Linked DNA regions of Danio rerio. The protein of the gene in region 3 interacts with the protein of the main gene of each other region in a biochemical or structural test. Links are inferred from orthologs where the notes say so. Each region holds a gene or a part of one and is shown on either strand. Other genes may lie near its edges. The genes, in order: dcun1d5, dcun1d3, si:ch1073-205c8.3, smurf1, nae1, rbx1 and dcun1d4.

Region 1 (4,705 bases), on a different chromosome or scaffold from region 3:
TAATTAAAAAATTATTTATTCAAAAACTACAAATCTTATCGGCATGAGGACATACAGCAACCATCTCATGAGCAGTAGGCAGCTTTTGACCAAATTTGGGGCTTGTAGCATCTAAGCCCTGGGAGGAGAAGCGATTGCTTTTTTGAGTCAGAAGCCGGAATAATAATAAGAATAATAATAAGAATAAGTTTAAGTAGCATTACAGTATGTTGGCTTTCTCAAGCCAACATAATAATAAGAATAAGTTTAAGTAGCATTACAGTATGTTGGCTTTCTCAAGCCAACATAATAATGTTGGGTAAACAATTAAAAGCTAATTTAAGTCATAATATGTGTGTGTAACGAAGAACATCAGTTTGATAACGAATATAAATGAATAACTGATATTTTATTTAGATTTTTTAAAATGTTTTAAATACTGATAACATAAATAGATATAATTAATATTTCAGTAGTAAACCCCTTAATTAATGTATTTTTTTTTATATGGAGAAGTTTAAAGGTTTGTTATAATACAACAACTTACGTGTTACTAGACTTGACAAGGATATTTATTCTTACTGTTCTGATGTTTAAAAATGAATTTAAATGATAGATAGATGTGTTGTGCATTAGTCATTTAACTAGAAATCATCAGTTTATTCAAACCTATTATAAAAGTTGACGTTGTTATGTAAACATTTTAATTTAATGCTGATTTAAGCAAGATTTTTAAAGTGCAACAATGAACATCAGTTTGGTAATGTATATAAATGAACTAGTACATACAGGATTTCTTTTTAAATTGAATTATATACTAATATTGCATATAGATATAATTAATATTTCAGAAGTAAATTCCTCAATTAATGTAACGGTTGTTTATATGGAAAAGTTTAAAGGTTTGTTATAATACAAACAAATGCAGGATACAAAACTTTCAAGTGACAACATTTGACAAGGACATTTCCTAAAAAAGAAAATAAGCAAATTATTAAAAATGTATTATAAATACTAATGATAAACAGTTAACATTTTAATTAAAACATGATTTAAGTCTGATTGTTTTATGTGTAACAGTGAACATCAGTTTGATAACATGTATAACTGAACCACAGATATTGTATTTAGTTTTTCAAACTGTTTAAATACTAATAATGAAGATATAGATAAATTTAATCTTTCAATAATAAATCCCTTTATTAAAGCAATGTCTGATTTATATGGAACAGTTTAAAGGTTTGTTATAATACAAGCAAATGTAGGATACAAGTCAAGTTGCAAGATTTGACAAGGACATTTCTCATGAAAGAAAAAAACTAATAATTAAAAAACTATTAGAAATAATGCTAGGTAACCGTTTTGATTTAATGCTGATTTAAGTCAGATTGTTTACTGTGTAACAGTGAACATCAGTTTGATAATGTATATGAATGAATTAGCACATACATAACTAATCTTATATTGAAATTTATCAAAAAGTATTGAAATAATAATAAAGCACATAGATATAATTCCAGTAGTAAATCCCTCAATTAATGCAATGTTTGATGTATGTTGAAATGTTTAAAGGTTTGTTATACAAGCAACTGAACTAGTACATACAAAACTATTTATTTATTGATTTAGATTATTCAAAATGTATTTAAATACCAAAACCGCACAAAGATACAATTAATCTTTCAGTAGTAAATCCCTCAATTAATGCAATGTTTGATTTTTACAGAAAAGTTTAAAGGTTTGCTACATATAAATGTAAGATACAAGACTTACACATTACAAGATTTGACAAGGACATTTTTTAAGAAAGAATGAAAGAAAAAAAACATTGAATTATTAAAAATCTATTAGAAATAATGCTAGGTAAACGTTTTATTTAATGCTGATTTAAGTCAGATTGTTTTATGTGTAACAGTGAACATCAGTTTGATAACATATATAACTGAACAACAGATTTAGTATTTAATTTCTCAAACTGTTTAAATAATAATAAGGGAGACATAGATGAAGTTAATCTTTCAGTAATAATTCCCTTCATTAATGCAATGTCTGAATAATGTGGAAAAGTTTAAAGGTTTGTTATAATGCAAACAAATGTAGGATACACGACTTACACGTTACAAGATTTGACAAGGACATTTCTTATGAAAGAAAAAAATCTAATTATTAAAAATGTATTAGAAGTAATGCTAGGTAAACATTTTTATTAAAACTTAATTTAAGTCTGATTGTTTTATGTGTAAACGGTGAACATCAGTTTGATAACATATATAAATAAATTAGCACATACATAACTGATCTTATATTCATTTTTTTCAAAAAGTATTGAAATAATAATAAGGCACATAGATATAATTCCAGTAGTAAATCCCTCAATTAATGCAATGTTTGATGTATGTGGAAAAGTTTAAAGGTTTGTTATACAAGCAACTGTCGGATACAAAACCCGATGTACGTTACGTATGAGCCTAAAAGCTTCGCTTTGTGGTTTCTGAAATGGCTGAACTGCTTCATACCCAAAGCCTGAAACTCTTCTAAACGTCTAAAATCGTCTAAAATATGTTTATACAGGTATAAAAAGCGAAACATCGTCAAAACATCCGACAGTTTGAGTAAAAACAAACACACGCATGTGATAAATGAACATACATGAACAGTAGCTCACCGGCTCATCTAAATATCACGAATAAACACTCGACAAAACACCCCACAAACAGGAAACTAGTCATAATGCAGTGTTTTCTCATCAAACCTGAAATATCAGCTGCTTTTAGCTTGTCCCGTTCGGTTTATTTGTTACCAATTTCAGCTGCGTTGTGCTGAAATCTGTGGCTGCTTTAGTTTCACACTGGCGGAGAAAGGAACATTTCCGGCTGCCCCAACCGGCATAATAAAAGTCACGCCGTTTGAATTTCTACATTTTTATTTCGCATTGCAAGGTGTTTCTTTGTGCTGTACGTCACATTGCATAGCAATATTGCTTTTAAGAATGTAGTCCTTAATTTCTAGCCATGAACAAATAAGCAAAACAGGCTGTTGTTTATTGGACATGAAGAAAAACATCTCCATTCATTTTAATGAGAGTATGACAAAGCAATGCTTGGAAACCAATGATGACCAATGGAGAAAACTGGTACAGTGAGTTTATAATCCTAATTCAAGGTCTTCAAGCTCTTTCAACAGCTGGGCCTCCTTCTGCATCTTCTCAAGCTGTAAAAAAGGGGAAATGTTATAATTATGGTTTTAGCATGTTATGAAGGTCTTATGAAAGCTAAATCAAGGCATGATCATATTTTATTTTGGTAAAAAAAAAGTGTAATCTAGAGGCCTTTGTTTATCATATCTGAAAACTGGACTTTACTAAAACTTCTATGTTAAGCGGCTTTGACACAATCTACATAGTAAAATCACTTAAAAAATAAACATGAATTGAATTTAATTGAATTTAAGCCACTTCTGACACCAATTGATCAACTAGAAGTCAACTTATTAAAAATTTATAGACGACAAGACTTTGTCGGGTAGCATATAAAAACATAACAATAAAAAGGTGGTACCTGGTTTTTTTGCATGACTTTTCCGGCAGCCTGCTGCTCCTTTAGTTCATCAATGGCTTTGAGTTTCTGCCAGATAAACAGAAAAATCACATTATTACATTAAAACATTGAAGAAGAATATATATATATATAGTATAGTACAAATACATTTTTTAGACTATTTACTCAAACAGCTAATTGTTGTATAAATAAAATGTTAAATATAAATAATAGATAATAAAGATGGGGAGGGCCAGGCAGTGGCGCAGTAGGTCGCCTCACAGCAAGAAGGTCGCTGGTTCGAACCTCGGCTCAGTTGGCGTTTCTGTGTGGAGTTTGCATGTTCTCCCTGCCTTCGCGTGGGTTTCCTCCGGGTGCTCCGGTTTCCCCCACAAGTCCAAAGACATGCGGTACAGGTGAATTGGGTAGGCTAAATTGTGCGTAGTGTATGAGTGTGTGTGTGAATGTGTGTGTGGTTGTTTCCCAGAGATGGGTTGCGGCTGGAAGGGCATCCGCTGCGTAAAAATTAGCTGGATAAGTTGGCGGTTCATTCTGCTGTGGCAACCCCGGATTAATAAAGGGACTAAGCTGACAAGAAAATGAATGAATGTCGGCGCCTGTAGCCTAGAGGTACTGCGTGCTGACATATAGCACCAGTGTGCTCGTGGTGACCCGGGTTCGATTCCCGCCTCGAGGTCTTTTGCCGATCCTTTCCCTCTCTCTGCTCCCAGTGCTTTCCTGTCCGAATTCTCTACTGTCCTATCAAAATAAAGGTGAAAAGCCCCTAAAAAATAATTATAAAAAAAAAAAAAGAAAATGACTGAATGAATGAAAGATGGGGAAAACATTGATAAAAAATAATGAATAATAATAAAATCTCTATATTAAAATTACTAAAATCAAATAAAGCCTAATAAAAGTTCAAGTGAAGAGTAAACTAAATATGTTTTACTTTCCCTTTACACTTTTCACATTTTATATAATTATTAACTATTTAGTCATACATAGGACGACACAGTGGTTAGCACTGTGGCCTCACAGCAAGAAGGTCGCTGGGTTGAGTCCTGGCAGGGTCAGTTGTCATTTCTGTGTGGAGTTTGTATGTTCTCCCCGCGTTGGCGTGGGTTTCTTCCGGGTGCTCCGCTTTCCCTCACAGTCTAAACCAGGGGTGTCCAAACTCAATCCTGGAG
Region 2 (4,333 bases), on a different chromosome or scaffold from region 3:
ACAAGGAATAATTACTGTTTTTACATTACTGTGATGGTTTTGGGTAGGGCAGATATTAATAAAATACAATTTATTGTGTAATTTCTTAAATAATATGAATATTACTTTTTATATCTACTGCTTTTACATTACTGTGAGGGTTGACGTAAGTGGAGAAGTTAATAAAATACAATTTAATGGGCAATTTAATAAATAATGTGAATATTTCTTTGTATAATTGCTGTTTTACATTACTATAATGGTTGATGTAGGGGTAGAAGTTAATAAAATACAATTTAATAAGTAATTTAATATATAATATGAATAACACTCTGTAAAACGATTGTTTTTACACTACAGTGAGAGTTGGGTTTAGGGTTGGGGTATACAATAATAAAATACAATTAATAGGTTATTTAATAAATAACAAATTATTCTTGTTAACTTCTGGCCACAGCTGTATCCCTTTTAGCAACATCCGAGAGAGTTTGTTTGGCTTTTTCATGGCAAAAACAGATACAATTTATAAACATTTTTTAATTTTAAGATCACTTTCCTACAACCAAAAAGGTTTATAACAATAAAAATACATTTAAAAAATGTAATGATACATAAAATACAAATCTAAAAGATTTATTTTTGATAAAAATTCGATTATTTTTGATCTCAGCGCTAACAGTTTTGTACGTTTAAAAACATCTTAATGTAATCATCACAATGCAACTTACTTTTTAATATGTGGTGTGTTTATAACAGGACTTGCTGGTAAAATTAGCTTTCCGATAAAAGACATCTATGAAGTTTCTTAAAAACAAACATCCAATTTAAACTGTGTATAGGATTTGCCTTATAATAGTATGCTGTTGTTTTACTTATAGTAAAGTAATATTAATTTACTTACACTTTTTTTATTTAATGTAAACATTTTCGTTTAATAAAGTAGGTTTTTCACAAAAAAATAAATAAATAAAATAAATAAATAATAATAATAAAGAAGAAAAAACAGATCTCAGTTTGTAAAACCCAATCCTAGACCAGTGGTTCTCAAAGTGGGGGTCGGGACCCGCTGGGGGGTCGCATAACAATGACAAGGGGTCGCTTGGTGATTTCCAAAGTCAAATAAGTTTTATTAAACTATTTGAATGACCATATTTTACTCATAACCCACAGAAGATAATAGTTGTGTTAAATAAACAACAACATACAAATAAACAAAAACAAAATTATTATTATATTATTATTATCTATTATAAACAAATAAAAATCAAAGTCATCAGCCTTTACGTTTTATATTATAAATTAATAAATGAATATAAAAAATATATACGGTTAATAGACTGTTGCATTTATGTGTTGTCAATGTGCTCATGTTTATACATGCCTATAGTTGTGTCTACAAGGTTTATATATTTACAGTGTAACCACCTTGAAAAATGGGGGTCATGAGTCACTGACATTGTTATTTTGGGGGTCGCGGGCTGAAAAGTTTGGGAACCCCTGTCCTAGACTATAGTACCTTGTAATGTTTGCCAATTCTGCAACTGTGATCTTGAAACGGTTGACCATCTATTTCTTCATTGTAATTTGGTTAGTTCTTTCTGGTCTGATGTGGACAATTCGATAAAACAATAAATTTCAATGTTTCCTTCTATTTGTTAGAACATTGTAAAATTTGGAGTAAATTTGGACAGCAAAGAGGAAATTGTTTACTAGTTTACTTAAAAACTTCATTCATAAATGCTAAATTTTGAAAGCAGCTCCTCAATTGACTGCGTTTAAAAAGGAGTCTGCCACATACGCAGAAGCTTTAAAAATAATGAAGTGTGAGAAGGCTATATACAACTGTATGATTTGTTTCAAGAATATGCTTCTATTTAACCCTTTGCAGAGTTTCTGTTTGATGTCTGCGCAGCATGTTGTTCTTTTTTTGTTATGATATTTTATAAATTGTACAATATATTTTGATATTTGATAAAAGGTTATAAATTGTTTTATAAATGTGTATGTTTGTGTAATTGTATGGCTTTATATTTGATTCACTGTATATCTGACATGCCTCAGTCAGTTTGTGCAAGATTATGTTTGGATTGAGTTTGGCCTAAATTGTCATGTTTTTAAAAGGCAAGTAAAAAAAATTAATAACTATATTACCTCAAAAGTCATTGGTAAACCAATAATAATAATAAAAAACATACTAAAAGCGTGGACTTCTTAGTAAGTGAGGATAACTTAAAATGTATTTAATGTCAGTTTTCTGATATTAAATCTCCATTCCTGTCACAATCTGTTATTTGTTACAGCATATAGATATATTTACACAGTTGCAGTCTACCTAGGCACTAGGCAACATGTTGATCACCATAAGCAAATGCCCATGACACCTAAATCCTAAATAGACTGTATTTATTTTAAATATGCAGCCTTTAAAAGGCATGCAAAGCGATATCTGATTCCCATAAAGCTGTGTAGGTAAGCAGCTCATAGATTTGAGCCACAGCCAAGAGTCTCTGTCAGGATAAATGAGAAAGTTTTCCTCTAAATAATGATTAACTGTCTACGACTGTAAGAAATACAGTAAATATCCAGCCTGAACACGCTGTAATCATACGGACAGCTCTGATACATGGCTGTATGTGAATGAAACAACGCTCCGCATGACAGTTAAAGTCTTTTAAAGAGCTGATCTCATGTTAGCAGATTAGCTGGTTAGCTTCAGATGAGAGTGCGCTTCATTTATAAGCACTAAACTTCATTTGAACTCTCAAACGTGTTCGTTCTGGACGTGAACATGTCAGGAGGTGTGAAGTGAGCGTGTTCTGTGCTGATTTACCTGTGGAAAGACGATGAAACGGGTCAGAGTCAGCGCATCCCTGCTGTCATGCTAAAGCTAAAGCTAATCCCAGCGTTCAGCCGAACCGGATCGGTTCTGGATCTGCGTTGAAGCAGGGGAAAGCTCGTCTCTTGTGCTTGTGGTGATTTTTGGTTCATCAGATGATCATTGTTGACATTTTCACAGCTTCACGTCCTCCAGACCCCCGTGCCCGAACCGAACCCGCGCTGATCCGGACCGGCTCCCGTTAAACCTCCGCCTTCCCCAGATCCCGCACTCCTCTACATCAATGTTTGAAGAATCCGGATGATCCCGATGAACTCGACACGACCACACGGAACCAGAGAATCGCGGATCGGCCGCTGATTGATCGCAGTTTCTCTTTTTGTTTGGGTCCGACAGAGTCTGCGCAAAAGATACGCAGAGATGAGCGACGCGAGCACCTCGCAGATTTTTTGCGATTGCGCAACACCGGGAGCGTCGCGGACTGGTTTGAAACGAAAAACCTCCGCAGTTTGAGGACGTCATCATTTGCAAGCACGTGGACGGCGGAGTACGGAAGTGCGGAGATGCTCGCATAAGCTGATGTGAACGCACATAGGTAACGCTCATTTAGAGTTCAGCTAGAATTATTATGTAGAAAACAAAAGGCTGTTTAATTATAATGCTTGCCAGATATTCATGCGATAAGTGCAAATCGCTCATTGACAGCGTATCCAACATTATTATAGAGGTCACGCAAACCCTGTCACGCGCTTCAGGTCACTGTTGGTGTCTGTTTTTGTTTTGTAGTTAATGCTAGATGAAGATTTGAACATGATTATGATGATAATTAGCTATAGTTATGGTTAAAGTAACATTCTGACACCTGCCAGCAGTAGTGGAAAGATATGGAGTCAATCTAGGGTCATATATACCTGCAACATGAAGGAAAGTTTTGCAAACAAAAAATAAAATAGAAAAATAATGCAAATGTCAAAAAAAAATGCTATATTGAGTTTTGAGAAATAAAAAGGAATTTTGCAAACAAGAATAAAGAACTGTAAATAAAAATCAAGTAGTGCAAAGAACATTTTATAATTGGGATAAATTATACATATATTTGCTAAATATTTGTTTTCCAGTATTGCCTTTACAAAACCTCTCAAGTCAATTGCAATGTGTACAATGCTCATTTTGATTTGCTTTTCAGTCAACCGTGAGTTTGCAATACTGTTTTTTTTTTAATTGCACTTCACATTTTTATCTGCATTTCACTTTCTGGCCCTGATTTCAAAAGGGGGCGGAGACACTGGAACTGGGGCGTGTACAGCATGCCCAGACATGCCTCCTATGAACAAGTAGGTATTGCTGTAGCCCGAAGACCTCCAAGTGGGAGGGATTACCCCGCAAGTAGGTTGGGTGACCTCCAAGTGGGAGGGACTTAAACCACAAGTAGGTTGGGTTTAAGTGGTGTAGGTGAAGTAGATCTTAATAAAACACATCAGGTTACTGTGAGGTTGGGTTTAGGGTTAGGTGTACACA
Region 3 (4,643 bases):
ACATGATGAAGCGGGCTGATCATTAATAAACCAAGTCATCAGGTGGGAGAACACCATCCAGTCCCTCATGCGGAGCAGCATTCAACACATTTCACAGTGTGATCTTTTACATCACTCGAGCTCTGCAGGGTCTGTTTAAGATAGTCTGAGTGTTTTATATGTTGTTACAGACACACAGAATCATCCTGCAACTGTTCTGCAGCATATGACGTGTCCCAAACACTGTTTTAACCGTCCATAATGGGCAAAAATGTTGATTTCACTCTCTGATAGTCAAAACATGTTCAAAATATTCCTATATTAAATATGCATTACAGACAGGCAGGAAACAGTGTTTATGTACATTCAGTCCACATATATGAACATCACTTTCCTCTAAAAGTACATCTTATCAGAAGATGATCCTCACGTTTTATTCTAATCAGCTTCCAATAAGCCCAAATAGCAAAGAGAAATGAGAGATGCATGTAGAAACAGCCTGAGCATTAAGAGATGAATGTGTTCAGCTGGAAGAAGATGGAGATGAGCAACAGTGTAAAGCTGCACACCATACCTCAGTATATTTAGACAGACGTTTCCCTCCAGGTCAATGTTGGGGTGATAAACCATCGTTTCACACTTGACTTTGGGGGGGTCGTGCGGATAACCCTGCCCTACCTAAAGGAGAAACACGTCAGAAAAACCTTCCCACAACGGCAGAGATCAGCGCACGGAAGTTTCACAACATCACTCACATACAGATCAGAACACTACAGAAACAAGCAGAACAGTGTGAGTGCAGCGGCGACAGCACACTGGAGAGAGCTGGACACGGACGCGCCGCTCGCCCCTCTGCTGCTCACCTTAAAACTGAAGACGAACTTCCCTCCTTTATAGAAACCCTGAGGAAAGAAGACGAGCAGCGGTCAGTACAGCGCTTCCCCAGATCAGCACACACACACACACACACACACACACACACACTCCTCAGCACACAGAACACACACCTCGTCTGGAGAGATGATGAGCTTAAAGTTCAGCAGGTCGTCCTGGTCTGGAAAGACGATCTCGCAGGTCTTCGGGAGGTTCAGCTCATTGATGTCTGACAAAGAGAAACAGCAGCATTAGCTTTTCTCTAACACACACACACACTTGTTTTTGTGAAAAGCGGGGACATTACATAGGTTTCCATTAATTTTATACTGTTCAAACCGTATACAGTATTGCCCTAACCCGAGCCATCACAGGAGCCGGTGTGCAGCTTTACTCTCTCCCTCACTCAGTGGGATTTAGAAGCTTTTGGAGAAATGAGGACGTCACCAATGTCCACAGATTTCACCTTTTTGTAATACCCGTGTTACACCTGTCATATACAGATTTGTGTCCTGATATGTCACAAAAACACACGTGCACACCTCTCTGCTCCACCACGGCTGCTTCATCTCCTGCTGTTCTTCATCAGTGTGGGCCAGTACAGTCATTATTGATGAGCAGAAGCACACAGAGGAGGTGCTGATCTCCACACTCCTCCATCAGCCGTCTGTGTTGATCAGGGCTTGTCATCATGTGTTTATGTGTTGTGGCCATGTCAGCCGCAGCGTAGATTAACAAGTCATACAACAACACATGAACTACAGCATCATACAGGCAGTGCCATCACCCAGAGCTCAGCGTCCCATGATCCTCGTCTGCGCAGGCTGATTCTGATTGGCTGTCGGTGGTTTGTACAGAAGCAGTGGGGCTGTTCCTCTGCATCTTCAGCTTCTGTTCACGCTCATCTAAATATTAAAGCCGCGTCATTGTTGTTACAGCGGTCGTGATTGGGTCTTAAAACAAGACTCAAAGTGTGTAAGAGTGTTAAAGGGTCCCGCAGGAGAGCTCTGCTCATGTACACACCGCTCACCTCTCAAAGCAGCACATCTGAACAACACTGCAAACTTTCAGGTCCAGAGTAGGAAAAACCAACACCGGAAGTCAAAGCCAGATTCCTCCAGCATTCTTCACACTATCTTCTTTTGTGTTTATTAGAAGTAACTCACAGGTGTGGAGCAAATAAAGCGTGAGTGATGGAGAACAGCCGAAAACACACTGTGCTTTATTAACTTAACTGAGGACACTTCCCTGGAACAGTTAAAACAGTGTGTGTGTGTGTGTGTGTGTGTGTGTGTGTGTGTGTGTGTGTGTGTGTGTGTGTGTGTGTGTGTGTGTGTTTAAAGCCGTTTCTCCTCATCAGTATCGGCTGTGTTTCCTCAGCCGAGTTGGTGTTTCTGCTGAATGGGGACCAGACTCTGCTCAGCTGTATGAACACACACACACACTCACTCCAGTTTGACTGTTACTGTGTGTGTGATATCGTGTGGATGGTTTGTGGAGCACAGCAGATCTTTGCTGAAGGTCTCCTCTGGTTATGAACAGCTCCAGCTCTCCTCCTCCTCCGGGTCTGTAGGCCTCAGTGTTTTGACTGAGACTTAAACTTTACCTCTCCGCGGGCAGAAACGCAGAGTTGTCCGCGCAGCTCGACGGTTGATCGGTGTTCTCCTCCTGCTCGGACTGTGAATGTCTAAACTGTCTGTTTTGTCTTGTTTTATGGGCCAGAATCTCCGAGGAGCGCCGGATGTTGTTAGCGCGCGGCTAATGCTAACGCTATCGCTGTTTCTCCTCAGCGACCCGGTCGGCGGCCCCGCGGCTGTGCGAGCTCCGGTACCGGCCCGGTGTGTTTGCGTGCGTGTATATGTGTGTGCGCGAGAGCAAGAGTGTGTGTGTGTCTCTCACCCTTCTGTATCCGCAGCTGGGCCGCGCTCGCCTTCTTCCCGCCGCCCCCCGCGCGCGGCCCGCCGGCTGACTCCTCGTCCTTCTTCTGCTGCTTCAGCGAGAAAAGCTTGATCATCTTCGGCCTCTGCAGAGCAAACAGCGCGGTGTGTTCGGGAGCTGCGCTCTGAGGGAGAGAGAGTGTGTGTGTGTGTGTGTGTGAGTGTGTTTCACAGCAGCTGTAGAGGGAGCCGGTGTGTGTGAGTCAGTCTCTCTCTCTCTCTCTCTCTCTCCCTGTGTGAGTGTGTGTGTTAGCCGCAAATGCTAGCTCTGTTCACACACTGTTCTTTCAGCTGATTTCAGAACACAATTAACTAGACAGAAACCGCAAACTTATACTTTAAAGTTAATAAATCTTCTTATTGTTGATAGTGTTGTTGTTGTCAAGATGAATGTTTTTTTAATAACAGCTATTATATAATTGTGTCAGTTTTATCATAAATCTGCGGTGATACTGAAAGCGGATGTTTTGGGTAGGGCACCGGCGGACCACATTTCCCATAGTGCCGTTCGGCGGTGACCAGAGGACTGGGAGGAGCTTTGCTATTTTTTTACTCTCCATATTTTTTATTTACCATATTTATTTATTTATTTGATTTCGGGGAGCAGAATCGCATGTGATGGCGTCAGCGTCCTGTCAGAGGTTGTGGCCCGTTTCCCGCGTCTGCTGCTGAATGAACGCGGATCCGCCATCAGACGCGCAGCAGCACAATAGCGGAGCGCGAACAAAAGACACGTTTATCCGCCGCTGCGCTCCCGAACACCGGCCTGCGGATCCACACGGCGGGGATTGAGCGGCTGGAGGGCTGAGGGACCGGGATCAGCCTCTCGGTGTCGGTAACGGCTCGGTGAGAGGGCTGAGCAGCAGAAACACGGAAGCTCATTGTGTTCCGCCGCAGAAACAGTCCGATGCTCGGCCAGAGAGTATGCGCCTCCACACGAGCAGGTGAGGGCACTAGATAGGCTGCTTCTCTAACGGCAGTCCTGTGTGCTGCTCAGCTAGTCATCTGTGTGTGTGTGTGTGTGTGTGTGTGTGTGTGTGTGTGTGTGTGTGTGTGTGTGTGTGAGGGAGAGAACTGCTCATTTAAACTAACCCACCCTGGGCCAAATTCTCTTCCCTCAGCTGCTGGTTAGGGTTAGTAGCGCTGCTGGATGGAGCTGCTAACCTGCTAACTAGCGTGTCTGTTTATTTGTGTGTGTGTGTGTGTGTTTCAGACCTGCGATCTGCTGCCGCTGGACTGTGTGAGGGTTGGTTAGCTGGTTAGCGCTTTCTCTCTCTCTCTCTCTCTCTCTCTCTCTCTCTCTCTCTCTCTCTCTCTCTCTCTCTCTCTCTCTGCTGTGTGTGTGTGTGTGTGTGTGTGTTCATCCACTGATGGTAAAGCTGTGCTTGTGATGAACGTGTGTTCTCTGCTCTGCTTCTGTCATTTAGGCCCTTATTTCACCTGTCTGTGTGTGTGTGTGTGACAGCGTAACCCACATACTGTATAAATGCCATGGTAACCACAGTGCCAGTAGTTACCTCAGTCATCCATCACTGTAGTCTTACATCCCCAGTACTGTGACATGAGGAAATCCTCCATGTAGTCAGGTTTGCTGTGGATTAAGGCCGGCACACTCAGAGCACTCGGGTGATGTTTGACAGAAAGTGTATCTGCTGTCGTTGGCAGTGAAAGCACATGCAGAAGTAAACGCTAACTCCTGTGTTTTCTCAAACCCTGATCATCTGTGACCCCGGCAGCGCTACAGGAGAGCTGCGGAGAAAATACTGTGGTTAAACTGGTGCTTGAGCTGGTGTTTCAATCCCCCATGCAGACTCTGTAGTGCACGGATGACTAGCAGTGGAGTGCACATCTGAC
Region 4 (3,317 bases), on a different chromosome or scaffold from region 3:
TAGTAAGCCAATCAGATTAATCCAAACTCACTATAAGTAGCCTGTCTAAAACTACTTTGTTTTCCAAAGAAACCCCCCCCATCCACTTCTTCTCCCCCTTTTCTCCTTTACCAGGGGGAGCTCTCGAGAACTACCTGATCTCGTACTCCCTTTACATGCTCATTGACCAGGCGGGAGCCCTGGGATCAATAATCTCCAAGCTCAGGGTTCTCTCCCGGGACAGCATGCCAAACCTGCTATTATTATCAAGCAATATCTAAGTGTGAACTCTTGAATATTTGCAAATGATATAGATAAGGGATGGGCAACTACGATCCTGGAGGACCACTGTCCTGCAGAGTTCCGCTCTAACCCTAATCAAACAGACCTGCCTGTAGTTTTCTAGTGATCTTGAAGACACTCATTAGCATGCTTGATTAGTGTTAGAGCAAAACTCTGCAGGGCAGCGGCCCTCCAGGACCGAAGTTGTCCATCCCTAATATTGGATTTTTAGATTATCAAACATATTTACACAAGTGAATCCCTACAATACAGTTTGTTTTTGCTGGTGCTAGTTGATTGGGGTCAGCTTGGTGTGTCCCGGCCCTGAAACTAAACAATTCTCTTTCCAAAATACTTAATCTAATATCTCTCATATTCTTTCAGTTTCAACCGTATCGACATCCCGCCTTACGAGTCGTACGAGAAGCTGTATGAAAAGCTCCTGACAGCAGTGGAGGAGACATGTGGTTTCGCAGTGGAGTGAGCAAGCGCCCTGTCCAGCCAGCCAGCAATGGCAGCAAAAGCCACCAAACAGCCCCTGCCACCCTCTCACACCCCTCCCCTTCTGCAGGACAGACGGACTGGTGTCTCCCGACAGACTTTAGCATCACACTGCAGTGGAGGGCAGCGAACACCCTAGGTGTTTCAACTCATTGACTAATGGTTTTGGCATTACCACAACGAGTTCCAGAGGAAATGTAGTTTCTCAACAATGCAGTTGGTATCGTCTTTGTCACTGAAGCGGCGGGTTGATGCGCGAGTGTGTTTGTGCTGCAGTACATAGAGCCTCGCTGAGCCCGTGATCTACTTGAAGTAGAGCTCACGTTTTTTTTAGTCTAGGGGGAGGATTTTAACACACACACACACACTCAGAGCCTGTGACCGTTAAACCAGTTTACCTACAGAAAAATGTGTCTCAAAGGACAAGGCTTGCGTTTGTCATGCTCGATGTATGTAAACGTCTCCAATTGTTTTCCTTTTTTTTTTTTTCCCCTTGCGTCCCGTTTAGTGCTATAGGATGACATTTCAGTGGTATCCATTTCCTGTGCTCTTCAGTTCTCATTGTAGAAATTTTAACTCGATTGCTTGAAATGTATTGTTGAAATGATTATTACTATTATTTTTGTGTCTAAGATCAAGAACATGCTTGACGGCGAGTCTTAGTCCTGTTGTGGGAACTGAATGTACCAGCGCCCATGTGTTCATGTTGAAGCACAACCATCGTGTGCGGTCGAAACACCAAATGTTCTCACGGAGTTACAGTATTTTTGTCGCAGAACTTCTTTTAACCCTTTTTTTTTTTTATCCAATGTAAGCAAAACATTTGAATTTGAAGCATGTCACCTTCTCCAATGGCGTTCGGCTTCTTAAACCGAACTCGTAAGAAGATCAGATGCTTTAAAGAAGCTCTTCTTGTCCTTAATTTTGATGGACCCCGTTAATCTTTTCCAAATGATTATTATATGGTAAGCATTAACCGTTTTAACCTACCGTAAACTTGACTGTTATTTGCTTGTTTCGTTGATCAAAACCACTGCTTCGTGGAACATTCGGCACTTCCGCTGGCACATGTACGATCGGAGTGGACGAATGCTTCGCTCCTAGACTCTGACGGAGAGGCTTTTCTGGTTTTGGTGTGCTGAAAGAGCAGGGAAGTGTTCAAGATTTCATTATGTAGTGCTTGACGTGCATGGCACCAGATTATTCTTTGTAAATGTAAAGGATGAGCCAACCTCATGGTGTTTCTTCAACCACTTTTGTCCTTTTTCTTTTCCTCCTAATTTTTTTTAACCAATTATTTATTACCATGTAATGTCTTTTTAAGTATTGCTGCTATTACCATTATTCCATAGTTTTCAGAGAAAGCTGAGTTCTTGTGAAAGCTGTACACTAATCTCTTTTATTTTATGTATGAATCAAAGTATTTAAACCTGCTGCTGATTCTTCAGGAGGTTAAGAGGATCGGTTCGCCTGATCTTTTGACCTGGATGGAGTTGGCGAGTGATGTAGGCCAGGCCCCGGTGGTCATGTTCATATTTGTGATATATGCAATAAAATCCATCACCTTTTTATTCTTGGTTCTGTCTTACAATGTCTTCTTCCTCACTTCAGATCGGTTGGGATGTGTCTTTGACGAGTGTGCAAAAATGAAGTTTTCCAATTTTCCAAAAGACCGTGAATGCCTACAGTGGTGAACCGTTTTTAAAACTTGCATACAACACAAGAGAGGTGATGTTTAATGTTGTGTAATTGTGGGAATGGCTAGTGAGCTTGAAGATGAGTCTGGACTTTGCCTGAAGTTACAGTTGTTTTCATTTTTCTCTAAGAAAAAACTTTTTTTTTTTTTTTTTGGAGTAATGTGACCAGTATCATCACATTGTACAATTATTAGGTCCTGAGTGTCATTGTTTATTCGATGCAAGAGTAATGTAACTTACTATGTACTAAACATTTCTGAAACAAATTCAGTGTAAATAAGATTATATTAAAGAAACTAAATTGCAAATCCCTTCCTCTTGCTCGTTTCTTTGAACTTTGTGTGTGATTTTTTTTTATTTATTTTTTTTTGCAATGAATGTTAACAAAAGTTAGTAATCTGCCTGTCGTATTTCTTCCAAAATATTGGAGGAACAGATGAGAAAATGTGCTTTTGACATTTGTGCTCTTGACTCGAAAGGATTGGTCTGTGCAAGAAACCTAATTTACAACATTATTATCTTTTAAAGGGTTATTTCATCCATAAATGACAATTATGTTATTAATTACTCGCCCTCATGTTGTTCCAAATCCTGAGACCTTCGTTTATCCTCTGAACACAAATGATGGTATTTTAGATGAAACCAGAGAGCTACCTCACCCTCCATTGACCACAAGGGTGCCGTGATGAAGAAAACAAATCTAAAACGGTGTTGAAACGGTGTTGAAACAGTTTCAGCTAACAATTTAACATTTTTAACCCTTGTGTCGTGTTCACATCCCGCCCATTACTTTAGTGTTCCCGGTCAAAGTTGACCGGTTTGTATGAACTGCTCTTAAATTAGAACTAAAAAAAAACA
Region 5 (3,492 bases), on a different chromosome or scaffold from region 3:
AGCTCAGAGCAGGTTAGGTGATGTAGGATCGGTGGGGTTACTTATAAATACAGTTCTACAACATACAAAAAATCGAGATCGACTTAGTATGTCACTTTTCTGTTTAATAATGATTTGATCAGCTGCAGTTTGAAATTTGAGTTTTTCTCCTCTAAGGGCTTATTATGTGGTCTCAGTCGCCATGTTGTCGATGGACAATGTCACCTATCTTTGCTCTGCTCAATGACAGGCTGATGAATTTTTTAAGGGGGTTTAACAATAGAAAGAGGTTTGCAACCCTTTGAAGTTGAGTAAATAGTGAGTCAGTTTTCATGTTTGGGTGAAAACTATCCCTTTCAGTATTTAATATATACAATTATCAGTTTCTTTAGGTTTATGAAGTATTTTAATGTACATTATTTATATTTGTGATAGAAAAGAAATGTTTTCCAAGTAATTCCCTTTAATATTTAATTAAGTATAATTATGAGTTGACAAATAATGTAATTTAATTTTCATACAAAAAACGTAATTTCACTTTCAGAAATTGACCATTGGTCAAAATAATAAATGTTTGTTATTGATTTTTTTTAATGTGATTAAAAATGAGAGACATTCGACCAAACCCTTCTATAATTAAACAGTGGTTTTGTTGTTCTCTACAAATAAAGACAAACATGGCACAAACCTAACATATTTTATTTAAAAAAAAAAAAAACTACAGATAATTAAAGTTTTGATATTTATAAAAACCTTTTTCAGTATTTTGCAAATACTATATAAATATAACAATAGAGCCATTCAGTCTTCAGTAAAACAAAAAAGAGCACAAACACACACACAAAACCTTTGGATATACACTGTTTATTCAGTATTTAGCATCAGTGTTGAGTCTTGTCTAAAAAGCAACACCATCGACCAATGCAAGCATAAACTTGAGTGCCAATTTGAGGCCAGCACTTCGACAGAGGAATGGAGAAACAGATGGAGATGACTGTTTTACAGCTGAAAAGTCGCAGAGGTCTGTGACATGGCGTTATAGAGGAACGTGTTGTTGAAAGGTACAAACTGGTGCGTGATGATTTTAATGGCCTCTTGAGCCGCTGATCCTGCAACAACAAACAGACACTGGGCTTCATTACAACTGACATTATCATAAATGAATGAATTCAGGATATGAAGAAAGTCTTATATATAAAATCAATTACAAGCTAAAAAAAATACAATAATAATAAAAGTGAAAAGAAGTTTTTTAAAGACAGAGACATGAGCAAAGAAAGGGGAGAATCAAATAAAATAACTGACAGGTAATCAGAAGCTTTTTGATAGAGGACAACTATGATATTGTACTTAATATCCTTAAATATGTAAACACATTTGCACTATGAACACTTTCTTAATCACTCCATATCTCTTGAAAACATTGTGCAATTCAAATTGTGCTTCATTTAGGTGAGTGGGCTTGACAAACCACCTGTAGAAACACTTTTTTTTCTTATGCACCTGACACTTCAGGTAAACTCCATCTTACAAGAACTCAATAATAAAAAGGATGATTACTATAAATGTACCACAATTATGTTGCACTGCTTACTTCAAACTTAAATAACTCCTTTGCACTATATTTAACCTTAAATACCTATTTTGCACAATATTCACCTTTAATACCTCTTTTGCACAACACTAAATGCAAAGGGCACAGTGCATACTCTATGGCAGTGGTCACCAAACTTGTTCCTGGAGGGCCGGTGTCCTGCAGATTTTAGCTCCAACCCTAATCAAACACACCTGAACAAGCTAATCAATGTCTTACAAGGTATACTTGAATCATCCAGGCAGGTGTGTTGAGGCAAGTTGGAGCTAAACCCTGCAGGGACACCGGCCCTCCAGGACCGAGATTGGTGACCCCTGCTCTATGGTGAATCATTTGAGACACAACCACAATTTCGATTACTGTAATATTGTGGCTGGAGCAGCATCATATTTTTATAACTTCCCTGATACTCAGTGCAAAAAGTGTTAAAATGAAAGCGAAAATCGATAATTACACTTAAGTCTGTAAAGATGTAGTACAAAGAAACTTAAATGACCAATTGTGAACTCCAAAAATTGCAGTTTGGTAAGGGAGATTTGTGTTTTTAATAATCATTTCATAATTAGGTAGAGATCTGCCTACACACACTTCTTATCAGCTGGGGTATTAGACATCAAATAGTTATAGGAACTCAGAGGGATGGTCCCCCAAAATACTACATTTTCCATATAGAGAATGTTACTTCAGAGCTTCACAAGAAAAAAAATGACTGTAAGAGCAAAAAGATGCAAAAAATTTGCTATAACTACTTGTTGCGCTACATATTATCGAGTCAAAAAAAAGAACCCACTGTAAATACCCCAGAAATATTACTTATCTGCATGTTTATGTCTTGTCTTTTTAAATATCGTGCTGCCAGTGTTTTATATGGCGCTTGTTTGCCTAATCAATTACATCACCCTAAATACAATGCTGGGTTAGACCCAATTCTGATATAGGAGCTAATTTTGATCCCCCAATTGGTGTTCCTGGAACTAAAACCACTCCAAGTTTCTGGATTGAAAAGACCCTAAAATTGTGTACTTCTGCCAACAGGATGAATGAAAAGTTTCATCCACTGCGGAAGCCCCTATTTTTAATTGATTCTGTGTCTTGTAGCTGTTTTGCATCTGATGGACACATCACAAATGTTAGGGGTACGGTGTAAGAAAATCAAAGTTATCATCAACTGATCTGAGTGCTAATATAGCTAGCATTAATTAATGTTTGTGATCTAAACTGAAAATTAAAGGAGCTTTTGTCACAGAAACTCATAAATCACATCAAGGTCAGATGGAAATGAATAGAGTACGACAGGAAATGTTCAACCTGCTCTGTATATAATAGATAATAATGGTTTATAGCGCATCACTCAGTACCACATGGTGCTTAAGTGGTTGAATACAAAAAAAGAAAAAGCATTTACAACCTCAGTGAATAACGTCAGAGCTGTCCCTGAGCACCTCTGAATGCACCCTCTATTGATCTGATTACCACATGCACTCAAAATCAAAGCATCTTGGATGCATTTACACCCCACAATAATGTAGTCAAGTGCTTTCTGATTATTAAAAATGCAAACAATCATTTATATTTATTATATTTACATAAACTGTTCTTTTGTTTGAATATTTATGCACTTTGCAGATGCTTTTATCCAGAAGTGACTTGTAATGTATTAAGGATTAAATCATGTATTAAATGACCTTCGATTAATCAGCCAGTCTTAGAGTGGTACAAGGGCTGGGCGATTAATCGAAAAATAATCGAAATCGACATTCAGAACCTATAATCAATCTACTTTTTCCAGGTCAATTTCTTAAATTAACGTAGACTAACCATGTTGCGTACCCTTTTCGCTATTCAGCGCACTCAAACGACCACTCCTCCATCATGAAAAGCCAGATAGGCATGTTTGTGTGATCATTCTCTGGATGAAT
Region 6 (4,693 bases), on a different chromosome or scaffold from region 3:
GTTTAAATAGGGTTGGAGCAAAACTGTGCAGAGCTGCGGCTCTCCAGGAATTGAGTTTGAGACCTATCCCTTACACGAAGCTTGTGAATTTGACTTGATTTGAATGAAGAATCAAAAAGACTTACTTCTGAAACTCCCACTCTCTGTTGTCCAGTGGACACACTTGTCTGGTCTTCAGCCAGCGGGAGATGCAGTGGAAATGAAAAGCGTGCTGCAGACACACACAAAAACAAACACACCAGCATTACACCAGCACCAAACAAACCCAGAGCTCAAAGTGTGTGTGATTATACTCACATTGCAGACTCCCCAGGCCACCGTACACTCCTCTGAGGTGGCAGACGCCTGATTGGCCTGACACTCAATACCTGAAGCAAACACAAGAGTTACAGATCAGCTACAGCTCATCTAGACCAGTGGTTCCCACAGTGGGGGTTAAACTTTGACACCTTTACAGCTTTCACATACATTAAAAATAATACAGGCTACAACAGAACATGGAGCAAGCTCTCACAGTGGCAATCTCTAAAATTAAACAATGAATAGATTTGGGCCTACTGGTATGTGTGCAAGGTTTAAATATTCATCACCACCTTAGAGAATATTGGGGGGTCGTGAGTAGGCATGGGCCAGTATAAGATTCTGACGGTATGATTACCTCGGAAATAAATTTCACAGTATCACAGTATTGAGTACCTCACAGTATTGAGTATTTCACAGTATCACAGTATTGAGATAACTGCTCTAAAATATAATCTTTTTAAATATCTGGGTACAAAACAAAACCCTTTTCCCCTTTGTACACACTATATGTAAATTTGGGAAACATATAAAATGTTTTGGAGAAGTAAACATGTCAGGCTAAATAATTCTAATGAATTATTGACTTCTGCTGTCTTCATTTGTTTTAAAAAAATCTGATTATTTTTACAATTTAAAAATGGCATCTTTGGATATCTTTTCTGGAGATACTACTGTCCTAAAAATAAAAAGTAAAAAAAAGATCGAACTCATACCTTAGGAACGGTATAGGAGAAAATTTTGAAGGCTTTAAAACCTTGACCTTTCCAAACCTTGATATACATTGAACACGGTTTTCATCCCACGGCTAGGCGCGAGTCACTGGCATTGTTATTTTGGGGGTCGTGGGCTGAAAACACCTGATCTAGACTAAACCTAAAAGACTAAAGCAGCTGTTATACTTACAGAGGTCCATAATGTGATTTCTGCAGATGGCACAGTTGTCCACTACAATGTCCCATGCCCACAGAGCCACAGCGTTCCACTGCAAGACAAGCAGAGTTTATAATCATAATCTTTATTAAAAATGCTAACAGCACCTTTTCTCTTAATGACACATGTACAGACACAAACTAAGCCTAAATATCCTCCACCAATGAGCAGCGCTTCCACTCAGTTATACATCATAATGAGGAAGAAAAGAAGCCAGCAGCCATAACATTTGTAAAGGAACATAGTGAAAATAAGTTGTGAAAACAGTATGCGAGTACAGTATGAAAACTTATTTTAAAAACATTTTTTAAAAAGTATATCTAAATTCAAACCGTTCACGGTGATCGTTTTGAATCCAGATTACAAATTGGTAATCTGGAAACCAACTACAATATTCCACAAAAAATATACATTCAGAAAGGGTTTATGATGCCTGAAACTGTTGGAATTGAACATTGAGAATGAGCTTGCAACGCCTCACACTGTTGGAAACAAATATTTGAAACAAGTTTGCAATACTAGAAACTGTTAAAAATCAAGCATTTGGAGGGTGTTTTCAATGGCTGACATTGTTGAAATCAATATGAAAATGAAATGGAGTAACATTAGGTATAATATCTGTCTATAACACAGGTGTCAAACTCCAAAAGGGTCAAGTTCCAAAAGGGCCGCAGCTCTGCACAGTTTAGTTCCAACCCTAATTAAACACACCTGATCAAACTAATAGAGTCCTTCAGGCTTGTTTGAAACCTACAGGTAAGTGTGTTGGAGCAGGGTTGGAACTAAACTGTGCAGGGCTGCGGCCCTCCAGGAATTGAGTTTGACACCCCTGGTCTATAACATTCAAACATGTCCGTACCTAGCTTTTAAAAAGGATGCACACAAGTCAAAATTTACTTAAGTAATAAGTATAACATAATTTATTGTACATTGTATACACTTATAGAATGTTCAATTCCGTGTGTAATATGTGAAATTCACTAAAATGTTTGCATCGAACTTTGAGGGGGGTAAATGTGTTTAAATGGAATGTTCGGAATGTCACTATGGTGACTAAAAGTGATGGAAACGAACGTTGGGAACATGTAAATGACGTCTACCGATAATCGAATAGAGCGTTCGGAATGCGTCTATGAACCTCAAACGGTTAGAATCGAATGTGCTGTAAGCGGCTGCAGTGTCCACAAATCTTGCCTAAAAAACTCGCCAAGGTCTGGGAATGATCAGCGCTGTATTTCGTTCTTTAGTGGCCTACTTCAATAATCTCTGGGATTACGCTGCAGAATTTATCGGAGTTCAAATAAGAAGCACATTGGGCGAGCATGTAACATATTTTTGCTTGACATTAGCTTGTACTCATTTTTGTGACACTTTATGAGGTTTTTGTAAACATGAAAAGCATAGAGGCCGGTGATTAAAATGATGATGTGAAAGAGCAGCGCGGCTAATGCTAACTGGGTTTAACACACCGCGGTGAAAGAGTGTTATTTTAATTTTAAAGAGACTAAACGGATGTGAACAAACAGTTGACAGCAATCATTAACGTGAACTTCACAATTACTTACCTTTTTCACTTCAAATCGCTTTTTACTGGCTCCGCTGTTAGCTCCACTTGGGGTGTCCACATCCATCGCGGCCGCCATGTTTGCTAATGTCTGATGATCTCGCGAGAAAGAGTGAGAGTGAACAGCTACTCGGTTTATAATCTTTTACATGTAAACGTGTGAATTAAAGCAATTGTGTATACTATGATGTTTTTAATATCATTCATATATTTTTTTTTATTCCAGTTTAATCAGACACAATCTAGTCCAAATTACAGTCGAGTTAAAAGATTAGGTTCCACCGAGATTTGAACTCGGATCGCTGGATTCAGAGTCCAGAGTGCTAACCATTACACCATGGAACCTGTTGGAAGCTAAGGCCCACTGTTTCCAGATTTGTACCATCTACAATACCCTACCACTATTATAAACTACATTGTCGGAATCCTGCATATTATATAATTATGACCGTGTTCAACATACATCAAATCAGTGCAGTGCAAGTGCAGAGCTTTGAAATGATACAGGAGATTACATGTTACCAGGATTTACAGATAACATTAAATGCCATCTATATATTTTTTTATTTCACATATTCATATTTGCTTTTTTTTGACAAGTTTTGCGAACAGCTACCATGTAGACTTATGTAAACTATACACAATTCGTAGTTTTTCCACTATTTTACACATTTGTTTACATATAAAGTGACGTTACTGGAATGCTCAACCGACTTAACATGTAATATCATACAGTTAAGTGCGTGACAAATATATATATATATATATATATATATATATATATATATATATATATATATATATATATATATATATATATATATATATATACATATACATATACATACTAACACACACACAAACACACACACACACAAAAGCATATAACGTTACACAAGTATTTTCAGAGGCCCCAAAACACTATTGTTGTGTGGATGCATTAAAATTGCACAAATTTTGATTCAACAAAGATTCAACCAAAGAATTACCTGTAAACAAATCTGCAGAGCTACTACCACATAGTAGCTAGCTAATAATTGTATTGTTTAAACAAAAAAACACACATGTACGACTACTTAATCCTAACAATATAGTCATCAATATGTATATATTTATCGTTATCTCTTAGTGTGGGCAAGCCAGCATAAGCAGTTAAAGCATTTAAAGACAATAGTTACTTAAGAAAAAATATGATCTACAGACTTCACACAGCCTCCATTTTAAAAGCGAAAGAGAGTCTGCAGTGGAAATAAACCTGGAAGTAACGCCTGGAGTCACACAGGAACGGCATCCAAGATGGCGTATTGTTGTGTACCTGGATTTATATCTTATCAGTGAACACAAATTTATAATTTCACCACTTTCCGAGTGACCCGAAGGTCCTTTCTGAATGCATGGTGAAAATAAAAAGGCATATCGGACCTTATTTTCCCCTAAGTTAAGGGAAATGGCACTAGTTAGCAAATGTTTTCTTTCCACCAGTGCTTAACAGAAATGACTGTGATTGGTCGTAAAGGTCATCAGTTCACTGCACTTCACCAATGTTTACAGAATGCAAACGCAGACAAGCGATCTGCTGATGACTTGACTGAACTTTAAAACGCTCCAGTGTCCGTGTATCTGTGTTTGCACTTGTGAAGAGAGGTAAACTGATGACAATCACCGCCGATAACAGTAATTTCACCGCAGATCAGCGGAGTTTAAAAACGTGCTCAACGGCGCTTAAATGCTAGCATGTTAAATGTTAGTTTTTTAAATTTCAGTACCGGGACAACAATATTACTGACAACACAATGGTGTGCTAGAGAGGACTGCATTGTTTTATCGCTCACCGGGTTACATTGGCTGAAGCAGGTAAGCGTCCCCGCAGTGTTTACCTGGTTCCATAAACTGAAG
Region 7 (4,599 bases), on a different chromosome or scaffold from region 3:
AGCTTGAACATACTATGCTTTTTATGGTCACATCTTAACACACTGGCTGTGTCCGAAATCGCCTACATGTGTTCATATTTCATTCAAAAAGCAAAGATAAACTAGAAGTGAACCCAAAACTCATATTTTCAGTGGTCTCGGTCCACTTATTTGGTCCACACTAAGGTATGTATGGCAGCTTCCACACATACTCACATGAACTACACTAAAAGAGTAATCACACCAAACCAACCAAGTTTGAACTGTAAACAACACACAAATTGATCTTGCAACATTGGCAAACTGTGGTTTGGACCTTAGAGCAAATATATTCTGAAAGTCACAACCTGCTACAAAAAACCCTAAAAATGAAAACATGTCCAAATCCCATCTATAATCCCTCTTGATTTAAATAATATAAAGGTTTGAATGTTAACTCTTGCAATATAACTGCTGGGTATTTAAATACATGCAAAACAGAGTCCATACTGTACTTACCAGCCTGTGCAGGGTGTGGTAGATTTTGTGGATACTGGCCAGTGTGGACAAATGAGAGTTCAGCTGGAAATCTATGACAGAGATATAAAAATATACATTTGTTACTTTATACACATGTATACAAGCTTCTGAAATGGACATGGTTTTTAAGGGTTGTTTGTGTACGTGTTTGTGTTAACATGTTTCCAGTCTATGAGGATATGGTGGGGGGTGAACGTCCGCTCCAGTGAGCTGGTAGAGTGACAGAAATATGAGAAGCAATGTGAGATGCAGAAGTGTATCTAATAGACTAATGTATCCAGAATACATTTAACTGTTCTTTGTGCCTTCGTGGTGAGTACAGCCAGGCAACTACCAACATTGTTATTCATAATCTTTATGCTGTCAAGTATGGTTTCATCACCAAGACAGAAGGTGTCAGTGTGGAGGTCATCTTTCTCTTGCATGTTAATATCAGAATATTATTGTAAAAATATTCAGAATAAATGTGTGGGACCAAGACTTTAGATTATACCCAAATACAGATAATTAACAATATGAGGCAAACCTCGTGAAATAATATTTAATAAAATCCACAAATATTTCTAATAACTGTATTAAACCTAACACTCAGAAGGTGCATTAATCAGCTGTGTGTGATATGATGGAAATAAAAAGTTTTTGTAGGAAGGAACGTGATGTCGCTTTAAAGTTTTTTTTATGATTATTATTATTATTGTTAGATTCAGTTTTTTTTTTTCCATTCAGAGGACTTAATCTGATTAAACCCCAAAAAAGGGAATTATAGTGTAAATAGATGCATTTTGAAAGGTCAAAGGTAAATTTCAAAACACCCATTACACTTCTGCAAGAAGAGTTGTTCTCATGCACTCTAATGGATAACTTTCTTGGGTGTAAAGGAGTCTAATTTTAATTTTAGGTATCTCTTATATTTAAATGTGATAAGGGGGAAAGAAAACTGGCAAATATGATCAAATTCAATGTTTATATTGTAAATGCCTATTCATTGTAATAGACATTGTTTTAATGTAATTTTTTGTATTCGTCAAACTATTTATGTATATGTTTGCACTGACATGCAAGTATGTAGCTCACTAATTGAACATTATACCCAATAATCACTATATTCATACCCTAATACGTAGGCTAGTCGTTTAGGAAGCACGTAAACTAGGTTAATAATAGCCAAATGCATACTTAATGATCAAAACTTTAATACTGACGCCAGCATATGATTAGATTATTTACACTTATTATGAGCTTACACGTTCTAATATTCGGACCTAGAAATATATACGTGTATGTGTGTTTGTGTGTATCGATGCAGGCCTCTGAATATGAACGCTATGCCAACAGCCAAGACCCCGAAACAGCATTAACTTCAGGTACGATGAAATGTCTACTATTTAAACAGTTGCCGGTATCTAATGCAGTGCATCATTAATGCAAACCCTACATAAAACGAGACCTGTGTGAACCTGTGACGCAGTTGTCAGGAATGCCAGTTTTTATGAAATCCCCCCAAAATTGTAAAACACAACATTAGTTAAAATCACACCAGCACGTTTCAAACATTCACAGTTTTACGCTGACTACAGTTTAAAATCTGATTTTCTGCCACAAAGCTCATAGATATGTATACACGCATAACTTGCGACGACTTTACAAAGTATCTAGAGAGTGTGCGAGCTTCTGGGGAATGTAGTCTAATGACAAACAACGCCTGCGTCTGCCAACGACACGGGTCGGCTGAATAAACCACATTTCCCAGAATTCCCCAAATCATAATTTCAATCGGTACTCTCCCCAACTGATGAATGCGACCCAAATGCTGCAAAAAAGATTTTCTATCTTTAAAAAAGACAGCCTTTCACAACGATACGCAGTTTGTCTTTTAAGGGGACGTACAGTAATGCGCCAGATCACACTCGACGTGTTTGCAAGCACTAAATTTTTACACAACTGCGTCACAATTTTCACCCCCTGTCATTTTTCCGCAGTTTTCTCGAAAAAAAACTGAGCAGATTAGCTTCAAAACAACAACCTTTCACTTGCACGTCGGTGGCTTTGCATTAGTCATTCGAGTTGTCAGGAGATGGATGCCTTAAGGTTATTTGGGTATTAAAGGTAATTAGTGTACAAGTGTATTGTGTAAATAGGATCAGATACCTTGTTCGGATTGCTGTATATACTCAAGCACAGAATGCTAAAATGCAACGATAATCAACGAAGGTCGTTGTCTCTTGCAAGCGCCCAAAACATCGGAGTAATTACACAAAGAGAGCAGCTAGCAAGCTCAGAGTCAATCTGGTGATCTGTATGCTCCGGTAACGGCTACTTTACTCACAAAATGCGTCAACACAGCGAATCATACATCTTAAAAGAAGTCACGGCGACTTGTCAGGATGCAGCAAGCACGCAATTGTCATCACAGCTCGACAGAAAACGAAAAGCAGTGAAAACGTACTATTGTACTTACTTGACGCATCTGAGTGCATTTTTATGAAACACACAACTGTATTTGTGTGAGTCTGCAGACCGGCCAGTGGGCGGGACACGTCAACATTACACATGCCCACAAATGATTTAGATGGCCGAAATTTTCAGTGGCCACGCTCACTCGTGTCCATGATTGGTCGAGAGGAGTGTCAAATACAGTGCGCCAGAAACATTGTGTACATCCCGCCTTTTAACCCACGTGATTGGTTGAAATGCTTCAACAACCCCACCTCTCGCCGTTCGTGATTGGCTTAGAAGTATGTCTACACCCATCAGTTACGATAGTTTCCTCGTGCATAGAAGAAAGCCAGCCCACGATGACATGCTATTGGCTCAGCTGTACACCAACACAGAGCACACTTGGGCTAACAAAACAATGGTGGGAAAATACAGTTAAAAACATTAGGCTACTGAACGAGGCGACTGCTTTAGGTTAATTGTGCGCTACTGTCGTCCAAAACATTTCTTTGAAAAGTTGCGAAAGTGAATGGAAAACATCACAAGGAGCAGGAACCCCAATTATGTAAGCTATTGTGTATAAAGGAGGAGTTCACCGCCCCAAAAACATCATTTTCTTACTCTCATGCTGTTTATATTATAACACGTTATGACTTATATCTGATGAACAGAAAAAGAGTGTACAGGGCAACCTCGCAGGCATTAAATTCAATGTTATGACAGAATTGAGCATTTAGGGCACATTGCTGCAAATTTTCATGTCTGTTTGTGTGTATATCAGGGTAATACCATAGGGTAATACAAGAAAACATGGACAGTGCCCAGTGTCAAATGGTCTATTTTACACAAATGGCTAATGTTGTTGAAAAAAATATATAGGGAAAATAAAATGATTACCTTTGCTTCCTGACAATACACTGATGGCAAGGGTGCATGATATTGGAGAAATCTTAGATTTTAATATTTAGTCCTTTATTCTTCTCTAATGTATTGCAATATGATTACAATTTCACCCGACGATTTAAGTAGCTCTATTTGAAAAGAATTCCTTAATTTAGATTGATTGGGATGACTTTCATGCATAAATCATCATAAAATCCGCTTGTTAAGTGGTGACGTGTTTGTGACGTATGTAATACTGTTTCTGGGTCCAAGCCGCCATTCACTTGAGTGGAGAAATCTTTCGTTTATGATCACTTTTTATTCCTATCACACATTAAAGTTAATTTTACATAAAGTCATAGTGTACACAACAATCTCCGGGCTTGCTGCATAACAAATACCAAAATTTTAACAATTTATAAAACAATGAATCACTTTCTGGCTATCGGATATTAGGCATAGACATATATATTGCGATCGTGACTTTCTAAAGTACTAAATCGCTTTGTAAACGTTTATTATTACCATTTCATGAATTTCCCCATTCAGTTGAATAGAGCGTTTGGACCCGGAAGCTGCTCCGCGTGACGTCACACTTAACAAGCGGATAATCTAAATTAAACAAACAGTGTGTGCAAGCTTTAGGTCCAATTGGCAATATGATGGGAAAAGTCATTCATCATTCACATAAATGGCACATCCATACACCTATTTGGGATAATAATGATCTTCAATATGGTGGTGCACCATTTCTTTCAAGGAAATGGATGCAGAAAGGCATGT

The links.
Region 1: the proteins of si:ch1073-205c8.3 (region 3) and dcun1d5 form a complex in vitro, tested with the Homo sapiens proteins (3 studies listed by BioGRID). The link is inferred for Danio rerio from reciprocal best matches to the Homo sapiens genes UBE2M and DCUN1D5.
Region 2: the proteins of si:ch1073-205c8.3 (region 3) and dcun1d3 form a complex in vitro, tested with the Homo sapiens proteins (4 studies listed by BioGRID and IntAct). The link is inferred for Danio rerio from reciprocal best matches to the Homo sapiens genes UBE2M and DCUN1D3.
Region 4: the proteins of si:ch1073-205c8.3 (region 3) and smurf1 form a complex in vitro, tested with the Homo sapiens proteins (2 studies listed by BioGRID). The link is inferred for Danio rerio from reciprocal best matches to the Homo sapiens genes UBE2M and SMURF1.
Region 5: of the proteins of si:ch1073-205c8.3 (region 3) and nae1, one has a biochemical effect on the other in vitro, tested with the Homo sapiens proteins (4 studies listed by BioGRID, with this or other methods). The link is inferred for Danio rerio from reciprocal best matches to the Homo sapiens genes UBE2M and NAE1.
Region 6: the proteins of si:ch1073-205c8.3 (region 3) and rbx1 form a complex in vitro, tested with the Homo sapiens proteins (15 studies listed by BioGRID and IntAct, with this or other methods). The link is inferred for Danio rerio from reciprocal best matches to the Homo sapiens genes UBE2M and RBX1.
Region 7: the proteins of si:ch1073-205c8.3 (region 3) and dcun1d4 form a complex in vitro, tested with the Homo sapiens proteins (3 studies listed by BioGRID). The link is inferred for Danio rerio from reciprocal best matches to the Homo sapiens genes UBE2M and DCUN1D4.

What each region holds. Positions count from the first base shown.
Region 1 is NC_133193.1:3,852,597-3,857,301, reverse strand, and holds the start of dcun1d5 (DCN1-like protein 5), read right to left. Parts: upstream 2,827-4,705; 5' UTR 2,732-2,826; exon of another isoform or gene 625-2,731; intron 1-624. UniProt on the Homo sapiens protein: Contributes to the neddylation of all cullins by transferring NEDD8 from N-terminally acetylated NEDD8-conjugating E2s enzyme to different cullin C-terminal domain-RBX complexes which is necessary for the activation of cullin-RING E3 ubiquitin ligases (CRLs).
Region 2 is NC_133199.1:43,234,073-43,238,405, reverse strand, and holds the start of dcun1d3 (DCN1-like protein 3), read right to left. Parts: upstream 3,184-4,333; 5' UTR 2,810-3,183; intron 1-2,809. UniProt on the Homo sapiens protein: Contributes to the neddylation of all cullins by transferring NEDD8 from N-terminally acetylated NEDD8-conjugating E2s enzyme to different cullin C-terminal domain-RBX complexes and may play a role in the cell cycle progression by regulating the SCF ubiquitin E3 ligase complex, after UV damage.
Region 3 is NC_133194.1:51,592,359-51,597,001, reverse strand, and holds the start of si:ch1073-205c8.3 (NEDD8-conjugating enzyme Ubc12), read right to left. Parts: upstream 2,965-4,643; 5' UTR 2,867-2,964; coding exon 2,752-2,866; intron 1,082-2,751; coding exon 987-1,081; intron 882-986; coding exon 843-881; intron 658-842; coding exon 554-657; intron 1-553.
Region 4 is NC_133178.1:39,644,135-39,647,451, reverse strand, and holds the end of smurf1 (E3 ubiquitin-protein ligase SMURF1), read left to right. Parts: intron 1-645; coding exon 646-745; 3' UTR 746-2,767; downstream 2,768-3,317. UniProt on the Homo sapiens protein: E3 ubiquitin-protein ligase that acts as a negative regulator of BMP signaling pathway. Mediates ubiquitination and degradation of SMAD1 and SMAD5, 2 receptor-regulated SMADs specific for the BMP pathway.
Region 5 is NC_133182.1:45,346,992-45,350,483, forward strand, and holds the end of nae1 (NEDD8-activating enzyme E1 regulatory subunit), read right to left. Parts: intron 1,089-3,492; coding exon 979-1,088; 3' UTR 828-978; downstream 1-827. UniProt on the Homo sapiens protein: Regulatory subunit of the dimeric UBA3-NAE1 E1 enzyme. E1 activates NEDD8 by first adenylating its C-terminal glycine residue with ATP, thereafter linking this residue to the side chain of the catalytic cysteine, yielding a NEDD8-UBA3 thioester and free AMP.
Region 6 is NC_133178.1:23,848,442-23,853,134, forward strand, and holds the start of rbx1 (E3 ubiquitin-protein ligase RBX1), read right to left. Parts: upstream 2,912-4,693; 5' UTR 2,877-2,911; coding exon 2,799-2,876; intron 1,286-2,798; coding exon 1,207-1,285; intron 369-1,206; coding exon 298-368; intron 212-297; coding exon 126-211; intron 1-125. UniProt on the Homo sapiens protein: E3 ubiquitin ligase component of multiple cullin-RING-based E3 ubiquitin-protein ligase (CRLs) complexes which mediate the ubiquitination and subsequent proteasomal degradation of target proteins, including proteins involved in cell cycle progression, signal transduction, transcription and transcription-coupled nucleotide excision repair.
Region 7 is NC_133195.1:25,824,088-25,828,686, forward strand, and holds the start of dcun1d4 (DCN1-like protein 4), read right to left. Parts: upstream 3,051-4,599; coding exon 2,957-3,050; coding exon of another isoform or gene 2,945-2,956; exon of another isoform or gene 2,647-2,944; intron 549-2,646; coding exon 478-548; intron 1-477. UniProt on the Homo sapiens protein: Contributes to the neddylation of all cullins by transferring NEDD8 from N-terminally acetylated NEDD8-conjugating E2s enzyme to different cullin C-terminal domain-RBX complexes which are necessary for the activation of cullin-RING E3 ubiquitin ligases (CRLs).